4 linked regions of the Struthio camelus genome follow. The protein of the gene in region 4 binds, or shares a complex with, the protein of the main gene of each other region. Links are inferred from orthologs where the notes say so. Each region holds a gene or a part of one and is shown on either strand. Other genes may lie near its edges.

Region 1 (7,449 bases), on a different chromosome or scaffold from region 4:
AAAAAAAAAGGTAATTGATGAAGCAGCTTCAGACTTGGAAGTTTTCTTCTTTCCTGAAGCCAAAGTTATCACTGACAGCACTGGAGTCCAGAAATTTGAGGGCATCAAGGAGATTATATCTGATAAGACAATGACATGAAATCTCAAAAAACTCAAAGGACCAGCTTATTCCTACATTGTTTATATCTTGAAAATTACTTTTCATTTCTTACAGGAAGTTGTTCCACACATATTATGCTTGGGATAGGAGTTACAACTTCAAGGTAGATGAGCTTCCTGAAACTAGACAGAAGCTACAGACTGGAAGTGTGTTTGGTCACAGTGTACTCCTCAGTACCAGTTTCTTTCTTGTGTTTCTGCTCCTAAAGGAAATTACATAGCAAAGGGAAAACCTGCCCAGAAATAACATTAGCACAAGATAAACCAACAACTTAATGTGGCACCTGGCTTTCTAAGTAGAGCATAGGTACAGTTTCCATCCCCAAGGGCACTTCAGTCTTGTGGAAAGAATTGACCTGCTTTGGTAAATTAACATTTGAAAAAAGTAAGCCCTGGATGTCTCTAGTCAGGTCCAGCCATATATCATGACCGTAGAGAACAAGTGCATTTTCACTGAACTCCATAACGTTAGCAAAGCTAGTCTTTTTCCTTTAACAACTTCAATTCCAATTCACAAGTGTACCTCATTCCCTTGAACATCACACTATTTCAGTGCAAATATTTAAACTGTAAATTCAAGTATCTCTATGTTAAGAAATTAGGCTAATAATTAGTGTAGCTAAAGTAATCATAAATTACTTCCTGAAAGGTGAGAGTCATTTAATGGGTACCTCATTCACATCCATTTATTCTCAAAATGGAACAGCAACTAAATTAAGGATGAGCCATTTTAGGATTTGCACCAGTTTTGGTCTATTTCACAATCCCATGACCAAAATTAAAAAGCCTGCCTCAAAAAAAAAAGAAAGAAAAAAGAAAGAAAAAAGAAAATCACACTCTCCAAAATTTAGTTAAAAAATACCGAGTAAACGAGCAGCAGAGTCCTTTCCTCAGCTTTGGTCTGTTCCTGCAAGATGCTAGAGCTACACAGCACCTTGTATAACTGGGCCTTTTTATTCCGTATGCAAAAATCATTAGATAGGAGGAGCAACCCCTACGCTCAGATCATGAGGTTATTTCAAGTATTCACATAAATCATGTATTGACAATTATCTGTTTCTCCTAATACACTTAAGAGAAGCCAAACTAAGCTGATAAGGTATTTTAATGATCTCCTAACAGCATCATCATAGCAAAATTCAAGTGGAAATAATCTTAGGTGAACTCCAGTCACTCAGAGAGATTTCCACCATAGGCAGGCATTGTAGTTTCTGAAACAAACGGATAAACTGAAGGTGGGGCAGGAGAATACTATTCAGGTCCACTAGGAACATGAAGTAGCATAAAAACACACACACAAAACATACAACAAACCATGGTTTTGCAGGGAAACCTCTAAAAATGAGGCACTAAACACTACACAAATCTAAGTCATAATTACAGTTACTTCAAAAGCAGCAGATATCTTTTCCCTGTAGTAAGTATTTTTAAAAACAAAAACACTAAATACTGGGAAATCTCATGCATGCAAATGGTTGATTTCAAACCATCTCGTGTTCTCTACTACATATATGTTTAGTGTATAAAAGTTCATCAAGAATTGTTTGAATCTTCAAATCCACACGTACTGAAGCCCCACAAAAGTCACTGTGGGTAGTAATACCATATGTACACGTACCTAGACATATCAGCAAGAAAAGGTGGTCAACTACAAGAAACAGCAGTGTACGCTGCAGTGCTGTTCTCCTGCAAGACTCCATCCTACCTGTCCTTTCAGGCATCTCTAAAAGCATTCACGTTACAGACACCCCTACCCGCGGGGCTGAAGAGGAGCACTCAACGCTGGAAGCCCTAATCCCCCCTCTCCCTCCTCCCTCTATCAAAGGACGCACTCCGCAGTCCGCTCCAGCTTGCGGCACAGTACTAGAGGAGGAACACACTTCGCTCCTTCCCGATACCCAGGTGTGCCGTCCCGTCTCTCCATTTCTCCACTTCCCTCTCCTCCTTCCTCAAAGATGCTCCCCCACCAACCCTAAGGAAGTGAAACGGAGCCGCTGCGCGAGTACCGGGGCACAGCGGGAGCCGGGGCCAGGGCCAGGCCCGGCGGCGGCCGCCCCGCCGATAGCCAGGCGCGCTTCCCTCCTCCGGCCGGGCTCTCCCCCGCCCCGCCGCGCCGACAGCCGGCGCTGGCCATGGGCGGCGAGGCGGCCGCAGCAACCACCTCGCCGCCTTCCTCAGGCCGCCCCCCACCTCCGCGGGTCTCCGCCGGCGCCTATAGCCGCAGTTGCGAGGCGGGAAACGGCGGCCGCGCCCTGGCGGGAGAAGGGAGGGACACGACGGCCGCGGAGCCCCCGCGGGCCTCCCGCCGGCGGGGCGAGGGCGAGGCCGCGGCGCGGTCAGGGGCGGGTTGGCCCCCCACGCCCACAGGCCGCGGCACGGGGCGTCGAGACGGCAAACGGCTCCGCGGCCGGGCCCGGCTAGGGCGGCCGCCGCCGCCGCCTCGCGGCGCAGGGAGGCGCGAGTGCCGCCATCGCTCGGACAAACCTCTAACCGCCGCTTCCTCTTCGGCCTCAGCGTCCCGAGCGCGGGCGGCGAGAAGCGCGGGGGGGTGGGGGGGGGGAGGTTGGGAAGAAGCAGGAGGCGGAGGATCCGGTCCCCCCCGGGCTGCGGAGGCGGCGGCCACTACGCGCGCAGGCGCGCTGCCCTCCGCCGCCGCCTCCTCCTCCTCATCGCCAGCAGCATCACCTCCGCTCGGCGGCCGTTACGATGCGCCGCGCGCTGCCGCACCCGTCCGCCTCCCCCTGCGCATGCCCAGAGCGGCGGCGGGGGGGGGGAGGGGGACGCAGCCTCGCGCGCCCTGTCTGGAGCCTCGGCCCCGCCCCCGTTTCCTGTTCCTCTCCCCCGAGCTTCCCCCTGCCTACGCGAGCGCCCACGCGCCAAGGCAACGGCGGCCGCTCGGGCGCTTCCGCCGCCAGCTGCGCAGGCGCGCGCCGAGGCGGGGCAGGCGGCGGGAGCCCGAGGGGGGCGAGTGCGCCTGCGCGGCGGTCCGACCTCGCCCCGCGCGCGCGGCGGGAGCGGCTAGCGGCGCGCGGGAGCGCTGTGGGCTCAACGGTTAACGGCCGGAGGGCGGGAAGGCGGGAGGCGCCGCTCGGCATCGTCCCGCTCTTCCTCCCAGGACCTCCGTTTTTGTTTTCTTTTGTTTTTTTCCTGTGGTCCTCGTTCGGGCTTAGACGCCGTACGGTTAAAAACGTCATTTGGCCCAGTGCCAGAGATGCAGAGCCCAGGTTTGCCTGCCCCTTTACCAAATGCAGCCTGAGGCTTTTGAGGGCTGACATCTGCAGGGGGAGAGAAACAACAGGGCAAGGGAAAGGGGAGAAGGCTGATCCAAAGAAAAGGCAAAGCTTGAGATAATCAACTTTTTAAAAACCACGGAGTGTTTTTTTTCCTTCCTTTGATTTTGTTTGTTTTTTCCAGTTTTTGTGCACCAAGAGAAATGTAATTCAAAAGTAGGTGAAAGCCTAATCAGATCATTCCAGGAGTTGAGGGTTTAAAAAATCCCAGGCAAATCATAGAAATTGTATCAAAGTGCAAGATCAGAGGAAAAGACAAGATGCGAGATTTGCCTGGGGAGCTCTGAGAACAGCAAGATCAACAATTCTTCCCTGGTAGAGCCCATTTCAGAATTTGTGTCTTGGTGCAAAGGACAAGGTTAATTATGCACATTATGAACATTATGCAACGAAACAATAGAAGTAGGAGTAATTTCCCAACCTAGATATACAAACCATATCTAAGCATCCACACACCTCTCTTTTTCTCTGGTCAGTGACCTACGTGCGTCATGCATTAGTTGTGCCTTCCTCTCTCGCCATCTCCCCCAATACCAATGGCAGTTGTAGCGTTCTGTCACTCTGGTTACGTCAAGTTGTGAAGTGGCAAATCAGATTCTCATTTCCTGTAAGACACAGGGCAGAGTCAAATTATAACCATAAAATTCATAAATTACTCTGGTTTACACCTGGTAGAGTACATTGGGCTTGAGTATATAGTTCCCTTGTTCATGTACAAGAAAATTACAGTCACCTGTCCAAGTAGTTGTGTGAGAATGGAAGAGCGTTGCTCCTTGTAATCAGACTGAGCAGCTGATAAACTTTGAAAATAGATGTAAACTTAATCTCCTCCTTTCTATCTTTTGTTTCTATAAGCAATGTCTTTAACAGTGGGGTTTTAGGTGGAAGATGGGTAACAATTTCCTTTGACACCTATTGCTTGCTTAACCTAAGTTCCAATGTTACAAATATTCCTAAATACTGGATGTATTAGAATTACTTAGGGATGTAACTTGACCGTCTGCAAGATGAGACTACTAGCTTTCTTCACACAGGATGAAGGGTTTTACTGCCATTCCTATCCCCGTGTTTTGTTCCTCCCACTGATTGATGGAGAAGGGTCCCCCATCACTGTTAAATGAGCCTCAGGTGGGAGAGGGAGTGGACCATAGTAGCTGCTTTCCATAAAGAAGGTGAGCTGAAAGAGGGCTCAGCTAGTTTCTTGCTGGGCTGTAAGCAGCAGCAGCATGGACCTTAGTTTTGAGGGGCCCTAATGGGGGAGGAGTAGATTGTTTGTGTAGGTTTTTTTTTTTTCCTTTCCTGTTTCTGTATTTGCTAAAGTCATTGGGGGGGGGGGGGTCTTACTCTAATAGAGTGAGGAGAGTCTATAGGGTTTTGGTTCTTATGGTGAGTTGGGCAGGCTGTTCTAGATGGAAACTGAAGAGGGCTCCAGTGTTCCTGAAAGCTTTTTGACAATTCCCTGGGTGTGAGCTGTGTGCTAGTCTGTAAGAGGTCTTAACTTCAACTTTATTTCTGTAACTTCAAAGTTCAAGTCCTCTAGATAGTTGAACTGCTGTCTTTCTCCTGTGTAAACACTGAATCTTCTGTGTTCTCCTATTACTTTTATTCTTGTTTATAAACTGTATCTGACAGCACTGTATCTCTCCTGTGGATTGGACTGGACTAGTCTTGCTGTATGAATGTACTGAAGAAATACATAGATGTGGGGAAGGGTTCTGTTTTACTAGTGAATTTTTATATTGCTCTTAATGTGGACTTAAGCATAGGGATTTTGCTTTTCTTGTTGCCTGTCACTTGGTTTGAGCATGGGAATTGTGTTGCTGAAAAACTTGGTTTATTATGTTAGTTATTTTTGTTTTAAAGTGTCTTCTGATGTAAGAATACTGAATCAATAGAGCTCTTACTGTGAGCTCAAAGACACCATGTGTGCTGATGTCTACAAGGACTTTTTTATGAAGCACCAAACCCTTGACTGTGTGAAGCATTCCACTGCTCCAGCTAATTTTTTAAAGGCCTTTTGATCAAGACTGACTGATCAAATGTTAGCTTTTCATTTGGCTGGCATACTACTTGTATGGCCATATGCCCATAAAGCTATGTTAAAGTTATAAATCCTATGACTGTTTTGTGACTTTTAAAATGGGGTTCTGGAGAAGCTTGAGGGAGATTGGCTTGAAGTACTGAGAGTAGTACATAAGTTCGTTTGGTAAAGGAGAATTAAAATCTCTGACTTCACAGCAATGTCAGTTTTCTACCTTTTATTTAGAGGGTAATCTGTCTGCAGGGGAAAGGTTTTGGCTCATTGGGCTAGAGGTGAGGATAGGGAGAGAAATGCCTGTTGAATTCTGACAGGGCATGAAATTGTCAAGCTGCACAGAATATGTTGAAGTCACTTACCGCTTCTCTTTTTCAGTGTTTAAGAGGGAAACAAAAAATGAATACTGCCTCAGCTTCAGAAAGTGGATCATATTCCACAAACCACACAAGACCATTTTTTTATGCACAGCCAACAGCACAACAGCCTTTTCCAAATCCATGGTACCTCAGTCATGCGTATAATCCATACTGCGTACCTGCGCCAGGTAAGGTAAATGGCAGCCGTCTGAAGTAGTTATGCTTAGTAAATTAGTACTAGAGTGGAGGAGATTAATGTATATGTATGTGTTTAGAAGCCTCTTGAGAGTTTAGAGTGGAATTAACATAGTCTTTCAGTCTTCAAAAGATCCAGGTTTTGAAGTGTTAGTTAACTGTAGTGCTATTGAAAGGTATCTGTTTCCGCAGAATAGAAGCGAAGCAAAATATTATTATCTTATAGCTATAGGGCTCTAGAATATGCCTAAGAGTGTATGTGTGTAAATGAGCTTCATACAAGCACATACACACTCTGTGTAAACATAAATCACACAAAGAAACAGTACTATTAAATATATAATGTAAATAGTATACATATGCTAATTGCTACCTATAACTGCAGCCGTCTTTCAAAAACGGTGCTATGACTTAGTGGGTATAATAGCAGAAAATATGGAAACCTAATTAGTGCATGCTCCTGGGACAAAATCAAATTTTAATTACAAAGTGTAGCTGTCTAGATAAGCTGTTCCATAACATGGCACCCTCTCTGGGGTTTCTGTGCAAGACTTACACTTCAGCCATCAACACTTGAAAGCATTACTTTAAGGGTCAGATTTTGTAGAAGCTCCTTTGTATGCAAGCAGTTATTAATCAGAATGATTTCTTTTGGAAAAAAGATACATTTGTCTCTTTTCTTTTTAACCCCACTGTCTAGGCTTCCGAAGTGGAAATCCATATTTTCCATTTTATTCTGTTGCACTCCATGAGTACCCTGGATTTTTTGTTCCACAGCATCCAATGCATGCAAGAATTAACAGAAGGCCTTATTTTAATGCTCCCCCACCCTCCCCTATGTTTTATCATGCAACACGATTTAGACACTATAGTACCCCTGGGAAAAAAACAGAGACAAAGGAAACGCAGACTGATCCTAGACAGCCTGAGAACAAGCCAAAAAAGCATCAAGATACCCATATAGAAACGAAAGGTTGTGATGCAGGAAATATGGCCTGTGTTTCTTCTGGTATAGGTACAGAGACTGAAAGTACTTCAGAGAAACAAGATTCTTCTGGATCTTCCATTGTGGTAGACAGAGAGTTTCATAATAAAAGCCCTTCTAGCTCTACACAGTATAGAAACCTTCCTTCTGGAAGCTATGCCTTTGAGAAGGAGGAAGTAAGAATAGAATATGGAAATGGCTCTCCAGCAATTCAGTTGTGGAAGTCCTTTAAAGAAACTATTCCTTTGTATGATGTGGCAAGTGGTAAACCAGTCCCAGAGAATATAGTGCAGCGTGACTTATTTTCTGTTAGTTCGTGTGAAGGAATGATATATGGCCCTCATGAAGGGGAGAAATTGGTGCCAGGAACTTACATAGATGAGAGAAAAGCTGTTCTGCCTTCAAAACAGAGTGCTGAAGCTATGC
Region 2 (7,971 bases), on a different chromosome or scaffold from region 4:
TGCTTTTCATCACATCTTTTAGGAATAAGAAATGAAACATGCATAGATGTGCTTTTCAGTGTATCCTGACAGAAATACTTTATCTGCAAGGATGCTAGAGTTAATTCAGTCTCAGTGAATGCTCTGGTACTGCCACACTTTGTCAGCTGGGGCTTTGATGCAAGCCTCTCTATAACACAGCCATGAGAAGCATAAGGGTCCTGGCACGTTAAGGAGAGAGTGGCATAAAAATGCGATTAAATACTCAACAAATTGGAACAGGGATGAGATTCTGAGTCCACTGTACCCCAAAAAGGGCTATTTCCTTTGAGATCACTGGTGGGTTATATCTGCTGAAAAACGAGATTTCAGTGGGACCAGGCTCACTGAATCTCCTTCTGTCCCCTGGGTAGAACAGATCCATCGGAGTATAGATTTCCCATCTATACATGAGTACCCAAGCCTGCTCTGCCAGGCTGCTAGTAATTGCAGACTGGTCTTGCAAAACTTTGTGGTGACAGTGGATGAATGGGTGTTTTGTTCTAAAGTGACTGCTCCAGAATATATCACTGTCACTTCACCTAAACACCACCAGTCACTCTGATTTTCAGTAGCTGCTGGGACTTGCTGAAAACAGTAGGGCCTGTCATTCTGAGATTAAGGAGGGATTAGCTGTGTGATTTCAGCCAGCCTTAAAAGAAAGGTTAAACACTTTGGGAGGAGGAAGTGTGCATGTGTGTGCGTGCATGTGCGCATGTGTTCCAAAACAACAGATGGTTTCAATAAAGTTGCTCCCGCTGCTAGGAAGTGGCACTTCTTGACATTAGCAGAGCCATATCTCATCAGGGTTCTTGTTTCTACCAGCCTGTCTCAGCAAGGCCAAATCCACTGTACAGTATGGGGTAATCAGAAAAGGCACTCCAATATCTGCCCCATTAATTGCCCCCTGCCAGTCCTTGCTCTCCTCTGATGTAGCGCCCACTGTGCTCAGTGTGCTAAGATCAATTGGCTTTGAAGGGCAACTTCCTCTAATGATCTGCAATTCCCCCTACTTAAACTGCAACAAGAAGTGTCTTTTTAAAGATTCTATAAGAAATGTGTTATTTCTTGGAACCACTAAATAAAAAACTCTACTTCAATCAATGTATCGATTTATTAAATAATTGTGCAACTAAATTAATGTGCCCCTTGGTGACGGAATTGCAGAAAATGAGCAGTTTTATGCATTAAAGACAAACTGGTAAAAGATTGTTTTCCAAGGTTATATCGTTCCACAGTGAATATGAAAATTTTTCCAATTAAAATATGAGGGTTTTTCAGAGTGCGGTAGTATCAATTGTATTACTTCTCACAGATGCACAGTATGACTTGATTTAACACATACAAATAACAGAACAATTGTCAACGTTACTAATTGATACATCTTTGGAGATAGCAAATAATATTATTCATTTTACCAGTATTATATTTAAATTTTAGAGTTAAATAATTTTGCTGGAAATTGGCTATTTTTTTAATTGGATAGTTTCATGAAAAAAGTAACGGTTCAAAATGTTGCCATGAAAACCTAAAAAGCCCTTTGAAGCTTCTCCACATCTTTTTTCTTTTTTTTCTTTTTTTTTCTTTTTTTCTTTTTTTTTTTTGACTATGTGGTATGTGGGTGGAGGAGTGTGGGAAGATGGCGGAGTAGAGATTGATTCTTCCTCTCTCTATGCCCTCCATTTTTCAGTGAAAAAAAATCATACAGGGGAGGAGCAAGAAAAAAGTACAAGGAGGAAGCAATGACCTCTTCCTGAAATTTTGGACTAAGCATTTTATACAAAATAAAGATGGAAATATTCCTTTGGCTTAAAAACTGTTCCATTTTAAAGCTGTTTGACTGAAACCCTATTCATACTTTTCTTTAAATTTTGGTCCAGTGGTATTTATTATCTGCATTTTGCTCACAGGAAAAAAAACATCAGCAGGATCCCCAGAAGTGCTCTGGGCATTATCTCTTGTCCAGCAGGGGATAGTTTGGCCAGTTTCTCATCAGACGATCCAAGCTAAGAATTTGCCAAAGATCTACTGTGTTCCCGGTCCCTGTATTGAAGGTAGATGAAGCAAAACTTCCTAAATAATGTGTTCCGTATGTGTAACAAAGAATGGAAACATTTTCAATAACTGAATTGTATCTGCAAAAAAACTTTTTGATGGTATCCTCTAAGTTCTCAAATATCTGCAGAAAAGTATATTTTACTCATTTTCTCCTAAAACTTTTTCCTTCCCTCTCTTCTTGCTTGGTTTCTTGACAAAGACATTCTTCATTCTGAAGGCAAGGATCCCAGTAAAATTAGTGCCAGTTCTGAGTTCCTCAAGAGAGCAATGTTTGTGATCACTCATAAGACTCTGAATTCCTTCTCATTCGACATTTCATCTTTATTTCTGAGTCTCTGAATATCAAATGGGAAACAATACTTTCTCTACCAAGTGTTCTCAGCTGTGTGTTTACAAGCTGTATGTGCAGGAATGATGAAATAGGTGTGAAATTAAAGCCTTCATTAGAGCATTCCAGTCCCTCAATACCCAGGAAATGTCCTCGGTTTTGGATTCTTGCAAAATCTCAAATGGTATAATCAGTTGCAATGGACTGCTGGCCAGAAAAATAATAATAAAAAAAAAACTTACCTGAAATTATAATATTGATAAGGGAATTTACATCAATATATCTCAAAGGAATTCACAGCTCCTCATTGTCTTCTGGGAAGCCAAAACCCATGAAATCAAATGATTTGATCAACAGCATGCAGTAAATCAGTGTTAACACTAAGTCAATAACCCAGTTTTCTGACTCCTAGTTCTGTGCTCAAATCCTGGGCCTGTATTAATTCCCAGGCAAAACACAGACAAAGAGAGAAAGAAAGGCATGCAGCAGAAAAAAAGGGAGCTGGAACTCACTAAGCATCTTGTAATTTCTGAAAGTTTTGGTCCTAATGTTTGTATGCAATGCAATTGCAATTTATAATATCTAGCTTTTACATACTAAGTGACATAATTTGCTCAGGCAACATGCTTCTCATTTTACAGCTGAGAGACCGAGCAAATCATATGCAGACCTGGATGAAGAACCCTGGCCCCTGGATTTCCATGGGAGTGTTATATTGCGCTAAATCTTTTTAGTGCTAAGGAGTGCTAATGAGGGTTTCCAGAAAGAGGACTGAGTGATGAGGTATTAGGCACTTGAGAAAGACTTCTAACTAAGAAAAAGAGCTGCTATCAATACCTCTTACAGAATATTTGAACCTGTATAGCAATTTATTGCTTTGCCAAAAACCTTACAAAGGTAAGCTATTGCAAGAAATACTTTTCACTCTGAAGTACTGGCTCAGTGTGGTATCTATATTAAAAAACATTCTCCGTTTCACTCCTGCATTTCGCACACTAATCCAGCCCAGCCTAAGTGTCCACACCGAAGGAAATGAATTGCATCAGGCAATGTCATTTGCTAAAAGGTAAGAGTGGAGGTATTCTCCTTTCCTTTCGTTTTATATTTCTGGGGTCAATTTCACAACCCAGGCCAGTGCTGAATGGGGAAATTGGAAAACTGCAGAATCGATTTGCAGACGTGAAGTTCTATTTTCTTTTACACTTCTTTCATCACAGTCTCTATCATTCTCATGTTGTGTAGTATTATTATCGACAGCAGCCTGGACACCACTGATAATTGCTAAACTAGGGAAAAGCTATTCCTTGCAAGCGAAAGCAAAACCACAGAAGAGGCAGTCACGGAGCAGTACTAGTCTTGCTTTTAAATTCTTCTTATTTAGACTGTTGGTAATGTACCTATGGTATGTTATTTCTGAGAGTTAAAGGGAAATGTGTCTTTAAGATCTTATTTAAATGAATTTTCATTCACTTGCTTTATTGATTTTTACAAAACAAACTTCTCAGCCAACTATTCAGCTGCAAAGCTGAATCTATTAAAATAATCTATTTTAATAAAAACAGAAAAATCCACAGGCCTTCTGAATGCTTCTAGTATTTGGTAATTCTTCTTTCATTAAATGCATTTCACAAAGGAAAAAAAAAACCCACAGCAAATTTCTGGTAATGACTTAGTTATCAAGAATGAAACCAGTGGCTCGTCACTGCAGATAACCAAAAAAGCTGGCAACTATCAGCCACTCGATCTCTGGGACAGAGAGAGAAATGTACTTTGTAATATTAAAGGTCATTGGCAGCAAAATGGTTGCTAGAGGCATTTAGCTGCCTCTGTAGGTAGCACTGGCATTGCTAATCTGGCTGGCAGCAGCGTGCCGGGCGTTTGGGGGGGGGCGTACAAATACAGAACAAAATGACCACTCCTGGCATGCTGAGCTTGCAGCCTGAGTAGCTGGTTATATGTTTTGAGGAAAGAGCAGTTCGGCCCAAGCAAGTCCTGGATCTATCAGCCAAACGCCTCTGTGCCCTGACCGCGCCCTCGCTGTGTCAGAAGGCCTGCAAGTATTTTCTCTGTTTCGCTTCTCTCTGCTGGTTTTCGAGCGTGGGCCGTGGTGGCCGCTGTCCCCAGCCCACCCGGTGGGCGCCGCTGGGGCGACACCTCCGCCCTTGCTGGGCCTGGGAGCTTGTGCTGCAGGAGGCACTGCAAGGCCTGTAAAACTGATGAGGTAGGAATGAGAGGGGGGGGATTTATGTCCATGGAGGGGCCATTTCTGCTGGGTGCCCCCGGAGAGGGGAACACTCTGAGGGCAGCGGTGGCCAACAGCAGGGGTATGGAAAGGCGCCGCGGATCGCTCTCATGCCCCTGGCTGAGGGTGGAGGCCGCAGGGCCCCAAAATGGCCGCTCTGCCGAGCGACTCCCCCTCCCCTGCGCCAACCCCGCCGTTGCTAAGCGACGGGCAGAGCCTGCCCCCCCCCGCAGCCCCTCTTGGAAACTACAACTCCCAGGCACCCCGCCCCTCCGCGAGACTACAGCTCCCAGCATGCCCCAGCATGCGCCGGCACTACATTTCCCGGCAGGCCGCGGGGGCGGCGGCCAGTCAGCGCGCCCCAGGCTGGGCAGTGCGAGGAGCGGGGTTGGCTTCCGCGGTAGTAAGCGGGCCGCGGGGAGGAAGCGGGGCAGGGGAAGCAGCCCCGGTGACATTTCCTTTCGGGTTGCCCCCCTCTCCCGCTGCCGGAGCTGGGGCCCCGAGAATGGCAGCGTTAGGAGGTCGGTGCGCCTGGGCCGCCTAGGCGGAGCGGGTGGGTGGGGGAGGGGCGGCCGTGCTGAGGGGGGTGAGGAGCGGCCTGTGGGGGAGGGGCGGCTGTGAGGTAGGGTCTCTCCTGAAGGGTGCCTGTGGGGGGCGATGGGGAGGGTGCTGGGGGCCTCTATGCTGAGGGGCGTCTGTGGGGGGTACATTGGGAGGGTTCTGGGGGCCTCTGTGCTGAGGGGCGTCTGTGGGGGGTACGTGGGGAGGGTGCTGTGGGGCCTCTGTGCTGAAGGGCGTCTGTGGGGGGTACGTGGGGAGGGTGCTGGGGGGCCTCTGTGCTGAGGGGCGTCTGTGGGGGGTACGTGGGGAGGGTGCTGGGGGGCCTCTGTGCTGAGGGGCGTCTGTGGGGGGTACGTGGGGAGGGTGCTGTGGGGCCTCTGTGCTGAGGGGCGTCTGTGGGGGGTACGTGGGGAGGGTGCTGGGGGCCTCTGTGCTGAGGGGCGTCTGGGGAGGGTGCTGGGGGCCTCTGTGCTGAGGGGCATCTGTGGGGGGTATGTGGGGAGGGTGCTGGGGGCCTCTGTGCTGAGGGGCGTCTGGGGAGGGTGCTGTGGGGCCTCTGTGCTGAGGGGCGTCTGTGGGGGGTATGTGGGGAGGGTGCTGGGGGCCTCTGTGCTGAGGGGCGTCTGGGGAGGGTGCTGGGGGCCTCTGTGCTGAGGGGCGTCTGTGGGGGGTACGTGGGGAGGGTGCTGGGGGGCCTCTATGCTGAGGGGCGTCTGTGGGGGGTACATGGGGAGGGTGCTGGGGGCCTCTGTGCTGAGGGGTGTTGGGGGTGATAAGGAGGATGCTGGGGACTTCTGTGCTGAGGGGTGTCTGTAGGGGCGCATGGGGAGGATGCTGGGGGGTTTTGTACTGAGAGGTTTTGGCAGGTGAGTGCCCCACTGGGGGAGTGTCTGGGGGTGTGTGTGAGGGAGGGGTGCTGGGGGGCATCCTAGGTGTTCCTGTGGGGCAGGGGTGCTTGGGTGAGGCACCTGCAGTGGGTGGTGTCAGTGCTGGATGGGGAAGATTATACCTAGGAGGGTTGTTTGGGAGGTGTCTATGGGGTCTAGGGTTGGGGACAGGAAGTAGGAGGAAGCCTGGGTGAAGAGGGCCTGTTTACAGGCAGAGAGCAGTCTAGGGAGGTACCCTGTGCAGGGAGGTGTGCATGGTCATTTGCTTGTGGTGGGGAGTTTGTGGAAGGAAGGTTGTCTTTCGGGGATACCTTCACACTGTGTACGTTTGAGGGGAGCTGAGCAGAGAAGGAGGGCTGGGTACCCTTTGATGAAAGACTTCTGTGAGATTGGATTTGTGGAGAGTAGAGGAAGAAGGGAGGAGTTTTTGAGAGGTGAAAGTGGGCAGTATTTTGGGGGAGGAGATATCTAGGAGGAGCAGAGCAAAAGTTTCGGGGTGCAAATGGTGAGGAATATTAATAGATGAAGAAGATGCCCATGGCAGGGAGAAAAGAAAGGTGATGAGAGTGACTGGGAAGGTTTCACAGCATGAAAAACTGTAAGATGGGTAATGCCATGGATTGGGCAGAAATACTGGGACATGAGAATGAGTATCAATTCTTGGCCATTTCCACCAGTGCTGGAAACTGCCTTGATTGCATGTGCTGGACGAGTAACTGGCAAGGTTGGAGAAGAACTATTCTGAAGCTTCTCAATGGTAGAAAGGAAATGAAACTCTCATGCAGTACTGGATACATAAGAGTTTTCTTACGTGTCAGAACTTTGCTATGAAGTGTTGGAATTGATCTAGCAAAGTATTATTTGCTTGGAATTTACTCAGTAGTGATTAACATTGTTTCTGAAAATGTGCAAGTGCAGTTCTCCCCTTCCCTTATGACTTGCTTGTTTTGAATGTTGCAGCTCTGTTATTGTAATAAAGAAAAGTAAGATCTCTGAAAGGAGAGCTTAAAGTATGGCATTTACTGTTTTATTTGGGGAAGGGTGTTTTCAAGACTTTTCCTAACAGTAGTTTGAAGAGATATTGACAGTATTTGGCCCCACGCCTGCTATAAGAAATGTGTGCCCGTTGGCAGATCCATACTGATTTAATTGGGACTGTCTCAAAGTTGTGTCTGCGTTCTGATTAAGAGAAATTGTAGCTGCTGAATACCACCATGGGATAGGATTTAAACCTTCTGTTCATCATTCTTGCTGTTCACTGTCCTTTCTTCCCCTTTGTGTAGCCCTAAATGTGTTGGAGGTGTTCTCGGTTGCAGTCAGCAGCATTACCTGATTTGCAACTCTTACTAACTAATGTTTTTCTTTTGAGCTCTCCTTTGTTGTTGTTGCGCAAAAATCTTGTTACTATTATGAAATAGATTTTTGCGCTTGAGATATTGCTCAATTTTCGCTTTGGGATTTACTTCATTAAGCATATTATGTGTTATTTAGAAGCATATGCTTCACTTAACTTGTTTTTACAACGATGTGACTTCCTTCACACCTGAGTAATTTTAAATTGTAATAGTATTTTATTTGTGAAGAAAAACATGTAATCATGTATACAAATTTATGTGACTTTATCTAATAGATTTGCTGCTCTACATACAAAGGCTGTTTCTTTATGACTGTACTATTTCCAATCATTTGTGCAAGTTAGTAACCAGTTCCTGTTTCAGTGTAAAGTTAAGTACATACATGCAGACATGCCTAATGGCAATCTAGGTTGAGGGTTTATTTTATTCTTCTACGTGCTTTATTCTTCCCATTTTACAAGGCAATAAGCATTGTGATACTTGGTGGTTTGTTTTTTTTTAAGTGATATAAGTAAATATTTT
Region 3 (7,312 bases), on a different chromosome or scaffold from region 4:
TCTAATGGTCAGTGAGCAGACAGTGGTTATGGGATACGCAACGTTCCCAGGCTTGGGGGGAAGGAGGGGGGGGGACAGAGCAGCCTTTACTGGCTGGCGTGATGCTAACAGCCACTGAGGGGCTATAAAGTTGATCAGCAAAGACAGACCGATGTGATGGTGGTTAAAGGTCAAGCCAGGGGGCTGGGGGCGCTTGTTACAGCTCAACACTTCCTAGGCAGCACTCCAGCAGCCACTGTTTTAAGCCAGGCCAGCCACGCTCACTGCAATTCAATTGCAGTCTATAAAAGGCTGGAGTAAATCTACGTCTCAGGACAAGTGCTGACATTACTTCTTCAAACCTACCCCTTCCACGGAGGCAGAGCGCCAGCGAATGCCACTGCCACAGACACCCAAGCTGGCTCTGTCCATCCTGCTCCACCTCCTGCCACCCAAGGCCATGGCACTGCTCAGCACCCTCCCTTTTGTAATGCTGCCACTTCCCCGCTGCCTCACAAAACGCTGCCTCTGCTCCTCCACCTCTGCAAACGGCCACATCCTGCCCTTCTGTTCCACTCACGTAGCTCATCCACGTCGTCTAAAGCTTCCTCCGGCTGTTATGAAGCACCTGAAATCCTGCAGGCTTTGGGGAGCCAACGATTACCACTGCAAGGACAAAAATGGTGTCATAATTCACACATACATATAGATATATACACACTCCTTTCTCATCCTTGACTATCCAGGACCATACCCAGCACTCCTTCCAGCACTGGAGGGACATTACATGTTACACACCCCCACACACGCTCATTTTCACACTTTCGGAGTATGTGTCATGCCACCACTTGTCATCTGTTCCCAAGCAGTCTGCCGTCACAAATTTCATTTGCCCAGCTCCTTCAATCGTACGACTTTCAACCGGCTGCCTCTCCTCTTCAAAAAACCACATCGGAGACACGGTGCCAGCCTCGCTGCTCGAGTTACTCGCACCTACCCAAAATATAGCGTGCGAGGTGATCCCAGGGCGCAACTCGCACGCGTGAAGAGGCTGAGGGACTGCGGATGATAATCCCAAAAGACTTAATGCTCAGAAATGAACAGAAAAGGATAGGAAGTTTAAGTTCCCCAATGCTATAGCTGCCTACAGCCTCCTGGGTCTACGTTACGGTGCTACTGCCCTTCCGCAGCAAATTTCGCGGGGTTTAGCTCTAAGAATCCTGTGCCCGCACCGAACCTGCCCTACGCAAAGCAAACTTCCACCTACGCCTCTTCCCCAAGCGCTTTGCTGAATACAGTCCTATCACCATATCACAGAGATAAACCATAGCAGATGGTCAGAGACACAAAAGAAACAACATGTGTTTTCAGGTAAGAGGTAGCACACAGGACAAGGGGAACGGAGAGGCCCCAACGAGGCTCCCATCCCACTAAACAGATCCTTTGAGAGACGGACAGGGAAAAGAGAGAGCACGCAAGTCCCTCGGACTGCTTTTACACCTACTCTGAAAGGGCTATTACTGGGGTAGCAATGAATAACACAGCTGTGTTAACAGCAGCAGCTGGCCTCCACCCGAAACGTGCAGGGTGTATGACAAACACGTCAAGTCGCTCCTAAGGTGGGTTCAATATAAACAAGCATCACAAGACACAGGAAGGAGGGAGAAGAGAACAAGGTTTACATAGTTTAAAGGTTAGAGAGTCATTTGTTTGTCCCGGGACTCTGGATCCGTCCTGGACAGAACGAAATACATTTGGAGGAAGATTATGAATGCTATGGCCCATGACGCACTGACCAAGGAAGTCACTCCAGCAGATCACAAGGGAAGATGTGCAGAGGCTCCCGGGGGGAACAAAAGCCAGTTATGAAGCTGGGGCGCTCTGTACGAAACGCATGAGGGATGCCACTTAGGTGGCTCCTTATGAAAGGGTGAGGACAGAAGTCTTTGTGAGCATAGCTTTGGTCTAGTCTAAAAAAACAACAATCAAACAAACAAAAAACAGCCTAGAAGTGAAAGGAGGTACATTATGGGGGGGAAAAAAAAGGAAAAAAGAAAACAGGAGGAAAAAAAACCTCTGCTTGTAAGCTTTGAAACGCAAAGGGGCCTGTAAGGACAGCAAAGTGATGGGGGACTATTTTTTCCTTTGTCAGTTCAGATCAGTCACTTATAAAAAATCGCACACTTCTAAAAACGAGGTTTCTCCAACTCATTTTATCACAAACACTTTGGAAGTCACATCCCTTAAGCCACAGAATCGGTTTTTGAGAAACACACACATAACCAGCAAAGCAAGGATGCTTTACTTTCATATTCTAGATACAAACGGCAGCTTTTTGTTATAAAAGACTAAAGCCCTTTCCCTCCCTAAATGTGTCAGTGGCAGCTCTCTAAGCACGTGAAACCTGCCCTAGGAAACACGACGCTGCAAAATCACAGGCAAGCGATGGGGCCGGTGATCCGGCCAGCACGCTGGGCCCCCTTCCGCACGGGATAACGTACGGCTCCATACATCCACGCTCCGTCTCTTGCCCTTGCTGCGCGCTTTAACAAGAGCGACTGGCCCCGCTCGGGGAGGGCAGCGCAGGGCGGCGGCAGGTGGGCACGGCCGGGGCCGGGGCCGGGGCAGCATCCGCGCACGCCGTGGGGAAGGCGATTCGCGGCGGGCGAGAGGCGCGTTTGCTCCGCTGCTCCCCGGCGTGCGAACAGGTTTTGGAAAATAACTCACCTCCTCTATCCACGCTCGGAAAAGCAAGAAACCCAGCGAACCTGCGTGTGGGAACCCCGCCACGGGAAAGGTCAGCGCAACCCCGGCTCCCACGGCCCCCGCCGTGGCCCCGCGGAGGGCCGAGCGCCGCGGCCGCCACCCCCGCGCACGGCTCCGCGGGCCGGCGCTGCCCCGGGCTGCCCCCTCGCCGCGCGGGGCCGCGGGGCACTCACCGGCCCACGCGCGCTGCGCTGCGCTGCGATCCGCGGCCGCGCCCCGCCCGCGCCGGCCCGGCCCGGCCCGGCCCCGCGCGCTCCCTGGATACAATGTAGCCGCCGGGTGGAACGCGCCTCGCGTGGAACCCGGGGGCGGGGCCGGCCGCCGCCGCCGCCGCCGCCGCCGCCGCCACTCAGGGAACGCCGAGCCCGTGACGCGCCCCGGGACGGCCTCTCCGCCCCGCCCCGCTGCGGCGCGGCGCATGGGAGGGGGCGGGCCCGAGCCCGGCGGCGCGACCAATCGGAGGAGAGGAAGGGGGTTGAGGGGCGGGGCGAGGCCGCTGGGTGCCCCCGGGTCCTAAAGTCCGCCTCGCGCCCTGCAAAGCCCCTTGTGGCTGCCCTCTCTCCTCCCTGCTGTTGCACCCCCGGCGCAGCGCGCCTGGCGGCCCCGCGGGTTTGCGCCACCCTCTGCGCTGGCACCCCACTGCGCGATTTTAAAAAAACGGCTGGGGGCATCGGTGAACACTCTCCAGTTTTCTTGCTCATAAAAGTCACTCAGGAATTAGGCTCCTGGCCGTCCGCAGAGAGCAGGATTGGCACCCTGCGGCACGCTGGCCTTGCGTGTCGCTCCCCCAGCTTCAGCCTGGCACGCTCGACCCAACCCTACAGCTGGGACACGAAAACCTCTGATGAAACTAACGTAGATTTACTAACTCTCCAGTGTCAGCTCAGCAAAATTGCAATGCAGGGGTAGTGTAAGGGTCAGCAAAACCCAAAAGGGCCCCGTCGCCTGCAACTCCGTGCAGAGAGATTGGGAGCAGACAGGAGGTTTGCCAGCGGACGTACCTCCTGGATAGGGACAGCCAGTTGGTTACTGCCTTCCTCCGGAGGGAGCAGGGCGAGTCCAAGTAAGCGCTTCCTTCATCAAGCGTTACAGGACTGGCAAGAAAATAGTCTTATTTGTAAACAATACAATTTTCCCCATAACTCGTGAGCAGGTGTTGCAGTATTTGTAACAATACTATCTCTGCATACAACATGTAACTAAGGAGTTGAATCTGTAGCATGATTTCACAGTGCCTGCACCTCTTCTGGGAAATGTGTAGTGTTCTTGCTACCAAAAGAAAAAAGAAAAAAAAAAAAAAAAAGACCAGAAAGCCATGGATCACAAATTTTGGACACACAGAAAAGGCAAGGAAGAGATATTTCTTACCTTCTCTCATGACCTCATTTCTCCAGGCCTTCTCCTTATACTCAGTCACAAACTTTCAGAAATGAGATTCAAGTTACAAGCGAGAAACTTAATAGTGCTATTAAGCATATCTCCCCAGATAGTAGCTGGATGGAAATATCCAGGTCCAAAGTGTATAGGTTCTTCTATACAGCCAGTACGGTCTATTTAAGGCCTGCACTGAAGAAGCTCCTTCCCACCTAGTAAAACTCTTCAAGTTTCCTGCTGAAGAAACTGCCACCACTTGTCCTTGCTTCGTAGCAGTGATTCATACGAAGCACTGCTGACATGGGCAATTTTATATAGCGTGGGCATGGGAAGAGGTGGAAAGTGGCTGCTATGGGGATTTATTGAAACAATAATCCCAATAAAAGGCTACATTATAAAATACAGTCCGTTCTCATCTTCCCAGGTTGAAACAGAAGGACATCTGCTACGGCTGGCAGGGCCTGTGTGTTTAGTAAATAGCAGGGTGCACTGAAGATGCTGAACTATATCGAGCTCTTCTGGATCTGTGTTGCAACCAGGCCATTGCAGGTTAACTCTTAGGGCACTGCTGTTTTCCCAGCTAAGAGCACAATTACTCCTGAGAGGCCCACAAATTGTCCCGGGGCCTTTTAATGACTTTAACGAGCTGCTCAGGAAGACAACAGGGATTTGTGCAAGAGGTGGGTGTGGTGGCATCCAAAATGCATCTGTCAAACAACAGCAACATTAAAGACAAAATCGATTTTCACTGTGACTGTTGAGTTCCACCCAGTCACTCGAAAGTGTGAAAGAGCTATGGAGGAATGGGAGGTCATGTTTGTTAATTGTGAAACACTTTCAGACTGCTATTACAAAAGCAAAATCCTGTCCCTGGCAAGCTGCATGTGTGAACTCAGCTTGTCTTCTGAATCCTGACAGGCAGAATTTTTGGCAGCTGTCAGTCATAGAGGAGCTCTCTGCAAAGTTGTATCTGAAAAGATGCTTTTAAGACATAATGCCTAACACTAATCTCCTGCCCACCAGCTTTCTAGCTTTATAACTCTCTTGATCCCAATACAGTTGCTCCTGACTCCCACCAATGCAGTCGTGGGTGGAATCAGACCCCTGGGGCTGTAATTCCAAATAAAGCAGCCTTGTCAAATTCCCCTCGCTTGCTCACCTCGGGCAAGTCATTTCTCTGACGGGTGATCAGCAGGACTGTCATCATCCCGGTGAAGGCCAGGCAACTAGATTTTCTGCCTCACTGGGCGTTTGCAACAGTTTTACTGTCTAAACACTGCTGTCTGTGACTCTCATTCATTCTCCTGTCTCTGGCAGAGCTAAACACCAGGCACTCCCAGCAAGCCCTGGAGGAAGCGTCCTGCACTGTAGAGGTTCACGCATCTGGTGTTAAGCTCTGGGTGCTCACGGAGGTAGGATTCGGATACTAGGTTTTTTTTCCAAGGGAGCAGCTCCTTAGTATTGATAGCACTGTCAGAAGATAGTGTGCTCGAATCGCTGAACACTGCATCAGATATTTTCCTTTGATGGGAAGAAATCTATCTATGCAAGGAGTGATGCTTTGAGGAGCAATACTTAGCCACACAAGAAGGCTGGATCTGCAGTGATGGGCACAGCGGACATACCAGGACTGGCAACTAGCTCCTCTCACTCGGAAGCTGAGCCAGATATCTGGGAAAGCAGGGGGAGCATAGGGGGAATGGTTAATTGCAAGGGAAAAAACCCTTGTAGGGCATTTACAAAAATTTCTTGTTTTCCTCTTGTTTAAGAGGATTTAAGTATTAAGAGTGTGTAGGGAAAAGAAGCTTAGTTTATGATGGATGTTAATACCAGCTCCTTATATATGATACTGGCCTCAGGCATCCCTTAAGGTATTTAAGGGACTAATACTCTGTTTATGATTTCAGTTTACAGGGGAAATTCTCTTGCACTGTTAAGCAAATCATGCCCCGCGTTGGCCTTTGGTTGGTGTACATAATGGGCAGGCAGTGTTAGCCAGCTGGGGTACAAAATCTTGCAACTTGTTGGCATTTTGAAAATAAATTGGAAAATCGTTAACTGAGATTTTCCCCTTCACCTTGAATCATTAAAGGGAACAGGGGTTAAATATTTTTAAATTTGGGGGAAAAAACAGTTTTAAATAAAAAAGTGTTTACCCTGTTGCCATATTTGTTTAGCACAGCATTCATTAGGGATGAGACACTCACACATTTGCAAGATTATACATTTGGTCTAACTTGCTTTAAAAATCAGCCCTAATTGCCTGGTTCCCATTAAAACCTTGCCTTCCCAAAGGTGGATGTTCCAAAGATTTGCCCTACCCAGCGTTCACTAGCTGTTTGTATCTATTTATGTAATAGATCTAGCTCTGGAGGGAGTTGACTAAGTAGGTGATGTTCTCACCTACAGAGAAGCAGCAGGAAGAATAAAATCTGGCCAACAAACCACATTGACGTCTTTGTATCTTTTTTGGTTGTTGTTGTTGTTGTTGTTGTTGTTTTTAAGAGAGCATTTCCGTCCTACAAAACTTAACTCTTCAAGAGGTTAAATAAGAAAATTTAGTGTTTTCCCCTCTAGGTCACTGGTTTCAGTCCACTGCAGGTCAGTAACACGCCACGACTGCTAATGGCTGCTAAGTGGTCTGTGTGAATTAGTTTAATGCTTCTCAAGCCAGATGCTCGTTGACAGATGCCCAAAAAATCACGACTCCAATTGGCTTCCTCGTTGGCAGTCACAGCAGGTTGGTCAAGGACTGAAGAGGCCATGCAAATTCAGCAGTTCCCCTAGGCTAGGAACACTGACAAGGTTGCTTGTGAATACTTTCCCCTGTTGTGAATGCCAAGAGCCTTCAGAGAAGGTCACAGCACAATGCTAGGAGCACCGAGCACCGGTATCAGAGGACCCCATCCATGCTAATATCTCTCATTCATCTGGGGGAACTCTGGTAGCAAAGGTAGGAAAATACAGCTGAAGAGTCCCAACAGAGGCAGTTCTGAGGTCAAGGAGATGATGCAAGGTAGCAAAGAGAGTCTTGACAGAAGTTTTCACACTTTGGCTTATCCTGCAAGGGAGGACAAACTGCAGAGCTGCCAGTCAGACTAAACTAACGTACTTTCCCTACAGCAACAAAAAAAAGACAAGCTTCCTCCCTCTCGGCCTTCTCCTCCTGATGCCAAATTTAAGCAACCTTACT
Region 4 (7,450 bases):
AAAAATTATTTTCCTCAATTACTTTTGATTACTCTACAACCCACTTCAACATAGAATCCCCAGAACTCACTGTGCTTTGAGGAAAGAAAGAGCAACTCAGAGTACATATCAGGAGCTAATAAATGCTAAAGGACACTTCTGATGAGGGATATTCTGCCACCAGTGACAAGAAATCATACAATAAAGAATCTAGAACAAAACTAATCGTAAAGCATAACAATCTCTAGGTACAACATTTGTGGTCAAAAGTTTTGGGCAATTTCTACTCACCCAACTTCTAATAATGCAGAAAAAGGAAACATTAAAAGTAATACTATTTTGCAAAATATTACTTCTTCTTCCTTTTGCTACTGTAACAGATAACAATATCAGAAAAATATCAAAAAGATTATAAAAACAGAAAATGTGAGATCCATGATGACCTATGAACCTACACAGAGGTAGATAAGGCTCCTGGAACATAGCAATTTTATGTTACCTGTCCAATTTGGCTACCTCTAATTTAATATACTAATCAAGAGCTGCTCCCAGTGCAAGAAGGCAACTAAACAAAAACAGGCAGAGATGATCAGCAAGATGACAAATTGAAGTAACATACGAGAAGTCTCTGGTAGTGCTCCCAATTCAAAACTGAAGAGCAGAACCAACAAATCTAAGATAAAAGAATGAGGATCAGTAACTGAAGTATGAAGAGTTTGCATTCTAAATATAGACTCTATCCTGCAAACAAATGTAACCTCATTGACATGAATAATCCCACTGCAGTCACTGGCCCTATTCACAGGGCCAAAGCTATACAAACATTAAGATGACTGCAAAATTGGTGTTAGAATTTTACATGAACTATTATAGCCTTCTGTAATTATAAAAGATAAAACCCTCAAAGTCTTTCACCCAAATACATGCTCCTTTTCTATAAAGGCTTTATCAACAGGATTGTCAACAATATGCCTCAGAAAAGAAAATCTATCGAAGAGAACACCTGAAAAATTGCTGTCGATAGACATCAGCAAATACTTAAGATCTGTAGGCCTTGATGCCTATATATACTTATTGCGCTATTTGGGAGAGAAGTTTTTTTGTTTTTTTTTTTCCTCCCTCAAGATTTTTTATCTAAATATTCTTTAAGCAACTGAAAAGGAAAAAGAAACAATGTTAACACAAACAGTTTGAGAAGGAAAAAAACCACAATGACAATGCTTGACTTTCTGTAAGAACAGGCCTCTGTATGAGCATTCTTCACCCACCAACCTAATTTCGTATGCTCGTTTACAAGAACGGTCAAAAAAATAAAACGCAAATCGAAGTTTATGCCATTGTTAGGCCTGCCTTTGTTGGCTGACCCATATCTACATATGTACAGAGTTATAATACAAGGATCTGATTATCAAATTAAAAATTGCTATCTTTTGGTGTAGTACGTTATAAAACATGGACCATAGCTTTTCTCATGGTTAATTTTTGCACAAGTTTTCCTACTATGTATTTGTAAAGCCCTGGCCACGTTGCAGTAAGCCTTTTCCCTGCATTCCCATAAACCAAAATATCCTAACAGTAGTAACGTTCTTGAAAAAAAGAGTGTTTAAAAATATATAATGTGAAGATCAAAAACCTTTCATCAGCTAAAACGCATACATTTCCTAGCCCATTTTTTTCTTTTAACTTTTACCACTAAACGTAACAGTCAATAATTACTTTTAAAAGTACAGGAAGGACTAAGAGGACAGCAGTACAATTCAGACTGCTATGGCTGAACCAGCTGTTGAGAACATAAAGGATTCTCTAATTTCATCAGCAAGAGTTTCAATGAAGCAAATATATTGATATATTCCTTGCCAGGGAAATAACATAAACAGGTATGTCCAGTTTCTTCATAAAGGCAAGGCACATTAGTTCTATACCACTGCCGCTTAGGATCAGGCATAACATCAAAAAGTTATGCTAAGCTTTAAAAGCCAATGACTCAACTAAGAATCTTCTTTTTAACACATACATAGATGAACACGCACACACTTCCTGGCCATCCTTAGGCACACTGCAGCTTTCCTACTTCCCTCGTTCCTTCAACACCATTAATAGTACTGTAGCTGTTATTCTGTCGTAAGCTTTAATTGCACCAACTGTCAAAACAGAGCAAGGTTTATGGCAGTATAAATTAATAAACTGGCTCATTCCCCTCCGTAACTCAAGGAGATGGCATGCTGGTGGCTCTGCCGAACACGCGTGGAAGTTACCTATGGCCAGATGTTTATAGTAACACACTCTGCACACCTGGCATTTTGCCACCTAAATCCTATAATCATAGGCTTGTAGTCTCTTCCACAGAGAGGAGAATGAAATAAATTCACCGAGAGAAAACTCCGCAGAAGACATAAACAAGCACACACACACACACACCCTGCTTCCCGGGTTCACCAGTGTTCTTGATGCAGGTACACAACCTCCGACTCCTTCTTCCAGGCCTTTTCGTCCAAAACAAAGGAACCGGCCCCCCCCACCCCGCAAGCCCGGGGTGGATTTTCGCGACCGATTCGCTTGGCTGGCGAGCAGCCCACTAGCGCGGCCACCAGCTCGCCGCCTGCCCCGGCCGCGCGGCGGCCGGCAGCCCCGTGAGCTCCCCGCTCCCGCCGCGGTTCCCGCCGGGCCCGGGGCCGCCCGGCCCGCTGACAGCTCGGTCGGCGCCCGGCCCGGGCCGGCTGCGCAGGGCGCCCGGCGGTGCCGGCAGCGCGGCGAGGCCGCGGGGCCTGCGGGCGGGCGGCGGCGGGGCCTGCGGCGGCGGCGCTGCGGCCCGGCTAGGCCCGGGCGGCCGGTACTCACGGGGAAGGCTCGGATCCGCATCTTGGTGTCCTTCCGGCTGCCCGTCCCCTTGCTCAGGTTCGACATCTTCGGGCCCGGCCGGAGCGGCGCCTCCCGCGAGGCAGCGGCGGCGGCAGCGCCGGGGGCAGGCGGAGCGGGGCGGCGGGCCCCGGGAGCGGGGCCGGGGCAGGCCGCTGGCGACCTTCACTGCGGGCCGCCGCGCCGGGCGGCGGGCCGGCCCGGGGGGGGGGGTGGGGGAGGTGGCGGCGGCGGCGGTGGGGGGGGCGCGGCGGCGGCGCAGGCCCCGGGCTCCGGCGGCGGCGCTTCCTTCAGCCTCCTCCTCCTCCGCCGCGATGGCGGACAAACATCGCTCAGTGCGCAAGGCCGGGCGCCCCCCCCTCCCCTCCTCCGCTTCCCTTCCCACCGCCACCACCACCCAGCGAGCGAGCGAGGCAGCGAGGAGACAGATCCGGCCGCGGCGGCGGGGCGGGGGCGGGGGCGGCGGCAGGCGGCAGGAGGCCGCGGGGCGGGGCGCCGCCGGGGGGGGGGAGGGAGGGAGGGAGGGAAGGAGGGAAGGGGGCGGGAAGGAGGAGGGAGGGAGAGAGGGAGCGGAGGGGCGGGGGCGCCGCGCCGAATCTCGCGAGACTTCCGGCCGGCCTCCCGGCGGCGGGCGGGGCGGAGCCGCTCCGAGCTGTCACTGTCGGGGGCGGCGCCGGCGGCGAGGGGGGAAGGAGGGCGGGAGCGAAAGCGGCCGCTGATTGGCGGAGAGCGGCGCGCGGCGGGGAGGGGCGAGCGGCGCGCGAGCAGGCGGTGACGCCGGCCGGTTGCCCCTCAGCGCGGCGGGCTGAGGCCGCAGGCCACCTCGTGGGCCGCGCGGTGCCTGGCACCGCCTGCTGCCCCCCCCTTTTTTATTTTTATTTATTTTTAACATGCCCCCCTCCCCCTTACTATCCCCCCTCTTGGGGTCCCCGGATGCGAGACGTTTTTATTTTCGGGGTAACACACAGGGGCTGTCCTCCCGCGCCGCTGCTCTGGCCACCTGCGGTGAAGCTCGCACGGCGCTGTGAGGAAAGGCAGACGTTTTGTGCCTCTTCCTGCTGCTCAGCCCTCTGTGGCCTCCCAGATGTCCACTGTGCCCCTCTGAATCATGCCACCCGTAGGCGTAGCCCTCCGTGGGAGACTCGTACAATGCCCTGATGCAAGGCATTTGTTTTCTCTCCTCTTTATTTATGTTTTGTTTCTCATCAATACGTGCCTGAGAAATGAGACTGCCACCTGAGGCAACGCTTGCATGAGCACAGTGCTAAATATAGGTCATTCAAGAAAGGGCAGTTGCTGCAAAAGGGAAGAGTGTTTTGAAAATGTCAGATTTTGTAAGTCGGCAGCAGCTTAGTACCTCTGGAAGTTACGTTGCTCAACCAAAAAAAAGAAATCTAGGTCCTAGTCACTAGGGGACTAACTGAAAAGTTAGTGGATGAAATTGAAATGTGGGACAAAACATCACTTGCTCGGGTTCCCCCAGAGGATCTACGCAGCATAACCAGGAAGAGCATTTCTTTTAGGTGACTCTTAAACCAGACTCTGAATCTTGGGCATCTTGCAATGTCCATTTTTCATCCAGCTCCACTTGCTTCTCTATCACTGTTTCCCTGCAGGTGCATCTACACTTTGCAGCCTTTGCCCTCAGAGGTAACATACCTCTCGGAGCTGGCCCACCTTCTGCAGAAGTAACTTCATTTTGGTCTCTCAGTTTGTTACAACCACTTCCCCTTGAGACTACAGATGTTTGTATACGGGATTTCTTCTTAATCTCCTGATCAGAATTAAGTATACGCCTAGAGAAGATGTTATATAACAGCAGCACAATAAACAATGATTGCAACATGACTTTGCAATACCAGCCAGCCCTGCTTAAAATTATAGTGAATGTAGATGAAACAGAAAAGATGTGATGGGAAGGGAAAGATTGCCCTTTATTAATATGAAGAACATGGCTTCTGTATTGTTTCAATATGATTTGCAGATTATTTCTCCTCCTAAGTATTTCCTTTGCCAAATGAGGATAATATTGTATTTCAATGACAGTAAATTCCAATATTTTTTCTGTAACAGTGAAGATCAAGTCACTTGAAAAGTTTTCATTTTGACTCTTGTGAAAACGGATCACAACACTTAAATAAAAAGTAAATTTGTCCTAATAGTTTTCATTTTGAGAATGTTGCAAGTGTGCAATGCAACAAATACAATACTGTTTTCAAAAAGCCAAACTTTCCCAGAAATAGTTTGCTTTTGAGGAACTGGCATTTCTTCATTCAGGAAAAGAAGGGAAAAAATTGCTGAAAACAATCCTAATGAACTTTCCAAGTATCCATTACTGCCGATTGTTCTAGATAAACTTTTCTAATTACTGCTTTTGTGCTTCCTCCCATACTGGCCTATGCTTACCGCAACCCTGGAACATCAGTCTCTCGCCTTCTGCTCATCCTAGTCGCTACTAGCACACATTTTTATCTGAGGGTCTGAAAAGTGCTGACTCACCCTTAGTTGCTGCTCAGCCCAGCATGGTACGCTGAATTAAAAGTAAAATTACTCTCACACCCACTTCCCTCAATACCCATGCCAGCTAGCTTAATTCCACGCTGTGAGCCTGTAGATCTAACACACAAAGAGACGTATATTGCTAGTTCTTATATTATTAAAAGCTGAAACTGCTGCCTGAGACATCTCCTTATGCAGATTTGCGACCTGGTGGGGATATCTGCTATACAGAACTGCACCAGGAGCTCCTCCCTGCATTCTGGAGGTCTGTTCTGGGACAGACCATGTGGAGACAACTACAGTCTTTTCACTGCAAGTTTTCTCTTTCCATACATAATCTACAAAATGAAGCTTTGCTAAAAACAAGGTTGGAGCTCACACAAAGAACTATTTTAGAGGTTCTTTAGGTGCTTATAACATTAATTATAGACTGGTCAAAACCAGAAAGATGAGTGGAGGAGGACAGACTAGCATAGGAAGAGTTAGCCACCCTATTGCTTAACTGGGTCATGGCAGCTATTTTACGTGCGTATCTTGCATATCTTCAGTTAGTCCTGCAGTGAGGTAACGGTTCTTGTGAAAAAGAATGGTCACCCTTCTTGAACGTTCAGGATCGTGTGTGTTGCAACAACCTTAGTCATATTTTCCACCAATCACAACAGCATACAGACATGAGGTATGAAGGCCCCCAGAACAAATTATACTGTGCAGAGAAAAGCTCAACATATGCAGTGTATGCCAAGTGGCCATTCACTTTTTTTTTTTTTTTCCTGAGGTCATCAGGCCTTTTTTGCTGAACATATCACTAAATGCAATACTGAAGATGCTCAGGTGCTTGGTAATCCATACAGAACCTTTTCACCTGAAAGGCATATCATCACCTTTCTGTCAGCACGAGAAGGATGACCCTTTTCATTGATATATTTATCTTGAAGGTGGCAACAAACCTTTAATTGTTCAAACACTGTCTTTACAATCTGATTTAGCACTTACCTTAGTCATGTGAAGGGCAGCAGACATATTTGACCAATGTGAAGACAATATGCTACATCAGACTCAATCTTGATTAACATCTTCATAATCAGGCTTTTAAAAGCTGGATGTGGTTATTGTTTAACTTACAGAAAAATGTTCTTATAAACTTAAACAGTGACTTTTTCCTTGTTGAGGCTTGATCATGCTCCGCTGAAGCCAGGAACCAATATTTTGAAGATAAGCATCACTTCCAAGGAATCACACATACCTAAATTTTCAGGTCTTCCTTACATATTCACTCACCGCCTTCAGTGATATACAACTACTGAAAAATACAAGTATAAAGAAAAAAAAGGTTTCTGTCACAGCAGGAAACAGAATGACCCAATTCTGATCCCAGGAGTACCTAAACGCTTGAATGTAAACTCCTAGATAAGCATTTCAGGGCTTGACCTCACTCTATAAGGTCCTCCTACAGACAAACAAAAGAGTATTTGCATACAGGGGTGGGAAGAAGAGTGAGCTCTCTCCCTTTAAAGTGCAGAATAAAGGAGCAGGCATTTTTTTTTAAGCTGCATCACTTTGCATGTGATGGTTGCTTTCAAATTTGCATGCATTATATGTGACACAGTAACCCCATCTATAAGATAGTCCCTTCACTTTCCCATGTTACTGTTTTGGGAGAAACAATAAACAAATCATTCTTTCCATCACAACTTCCACAACTGAGGGAAAAATGTGTATTTTTTGTAACAACACAGAGATATGTACCAGCAAAATAAACAACCAGTGAATAAACATAGGTTGATTTTGAATACGTTGCATTGAGGATTCTGACAAAGGTAGTCCTGCCAAAAGCAGAATTTTATTCCAAATCACGTAAAGACCAACAAAGCTCAGCACGATCCGGTAAATACCCATTTAGTGCCTTGTCTTAGTCCTTCCCCTATAAATCAAAATAATATCTCAATGGATTGATTCCGTGTATAAGGTGCATAGATTATAATAGGTATGGGGTCAGTGGGGTATTATAAAAACATGGGAAATACTCAGAAGCATGATTTATTAGGACACTACTATACTTCCCTTCAAAGAAGCAGGACAGCGCCAAGGTGCGCTCTTTCGCATAGTTTCTATCCAC

The links.
Region 1: CUL3 (region 4) and KBTBD2 share a complex: the UniProt entries of both Homo sapiens proteins name them as parts of the BCR(KBTBD2) E3 ubiquitin ligase complex. The link is inferred for Struthio camelus from reciprocal best matches to the Homo sapiens genes CUL3 and KBTBD2.
Region 2: CUL3 (region 4) and KBTBD8 share a complex: the UniProt entries of both Homo sapiens proteins name them as parts of the BCR(KBTBD8) E3 ubiquitin ligase complex. The link is inferred for Struthio camelus from reciprocal best matches to the Homo sapiens genes CUL3 and KBTBD8.
Region 3: CUL3 (region 4) and KLHL25 share a complex: the UniProt entries of both Homo sapiens proteins name them as parts of the BCR(KLHL25) E3 ubiquitin ligase complex. The link is inferred for Struthio camelus from reciprocal best matches to the Homo sapiens genes CUL3 and KLHL25.

Annotation. Positions count from the first base shown.
Region 1 is NC_090943.1:55,282,347-55,289,795, forward strand, and holds the start of KBTBD2 (kelch repeat and BTB domain-containing protein 2), read right to left. Parts: upstream 3,019-7,449; 5' UTR 2,644-3,018; intron 1-2,643. Other genes in the region: uncharacterized protein, read left to right, coding at 5,830-6,031, 6,739-7,449. UniProt on the Homo sapiens protein: Substrate-specific adapter of a BCR (BTB-CUL3-RBX1) E3 ubiquitin ligase complex that acts as a regulator of the insulin signaling pathway, modulating insulin sensitivity by limiting PIK3R1/p85alpha abundance in adipocytes.
Region 2 is NC_090955.1:13,899,812-13,907,782, forward strand, and holds the start of KBTBD8 (kelch repeat and BTB domain-containing protein 8), read left to right. Parts: upstream 1-4,966; 5' UTR 4,967-5,151; coding exon 5,152-5,167; intron 5,168-7,971. UniProt on the Homo sapiens protein: Substrate-specific adapter of a BCR (BTB-CUL3-RBX1) E3 ubiquitin ligase complex that acts as a regulator of neural crest specification.
Region 3 is NC_090953.1:8,595,303-8,602,614, forward strand, and holds the start of KLHL25 (kelch-like protein 25), read right to left. Parts: upstream 3,005-7,312; 5' UTR 2,919-3,004; intron 2,830-2,918; exon of another isoform or gene 2,707-2,829; intron 646-2,706; exon of another isoform or gene 560-645; intron 1-559. UniProt on the Homo sapiens protein: Substrate-specific adapter of a BCR (BTB-CUL3-RBX1) E3 ubiquitin ligase complex involved in various processes, such as translation homeostasis and lipid synthesis.
Region 4 is NC_090950.1:12,984,674-12,992,123, forward strand, and holds the start of CUL3 (cullin-3), read right to left. Parts: upstream 3,018-7,450; 5' UTR 2,884-3,017; coding exon 2,818-2,883; intron 1-2,817. UniProt on the Homo sapiens protein: Core component of multiple cullin-RING-based BCR (BTB-CUL3-RBX1) E3 ubiquitin-protein ligase complexes which mediate the ubiquitination and subsequent proteasomal degradation of target proteins.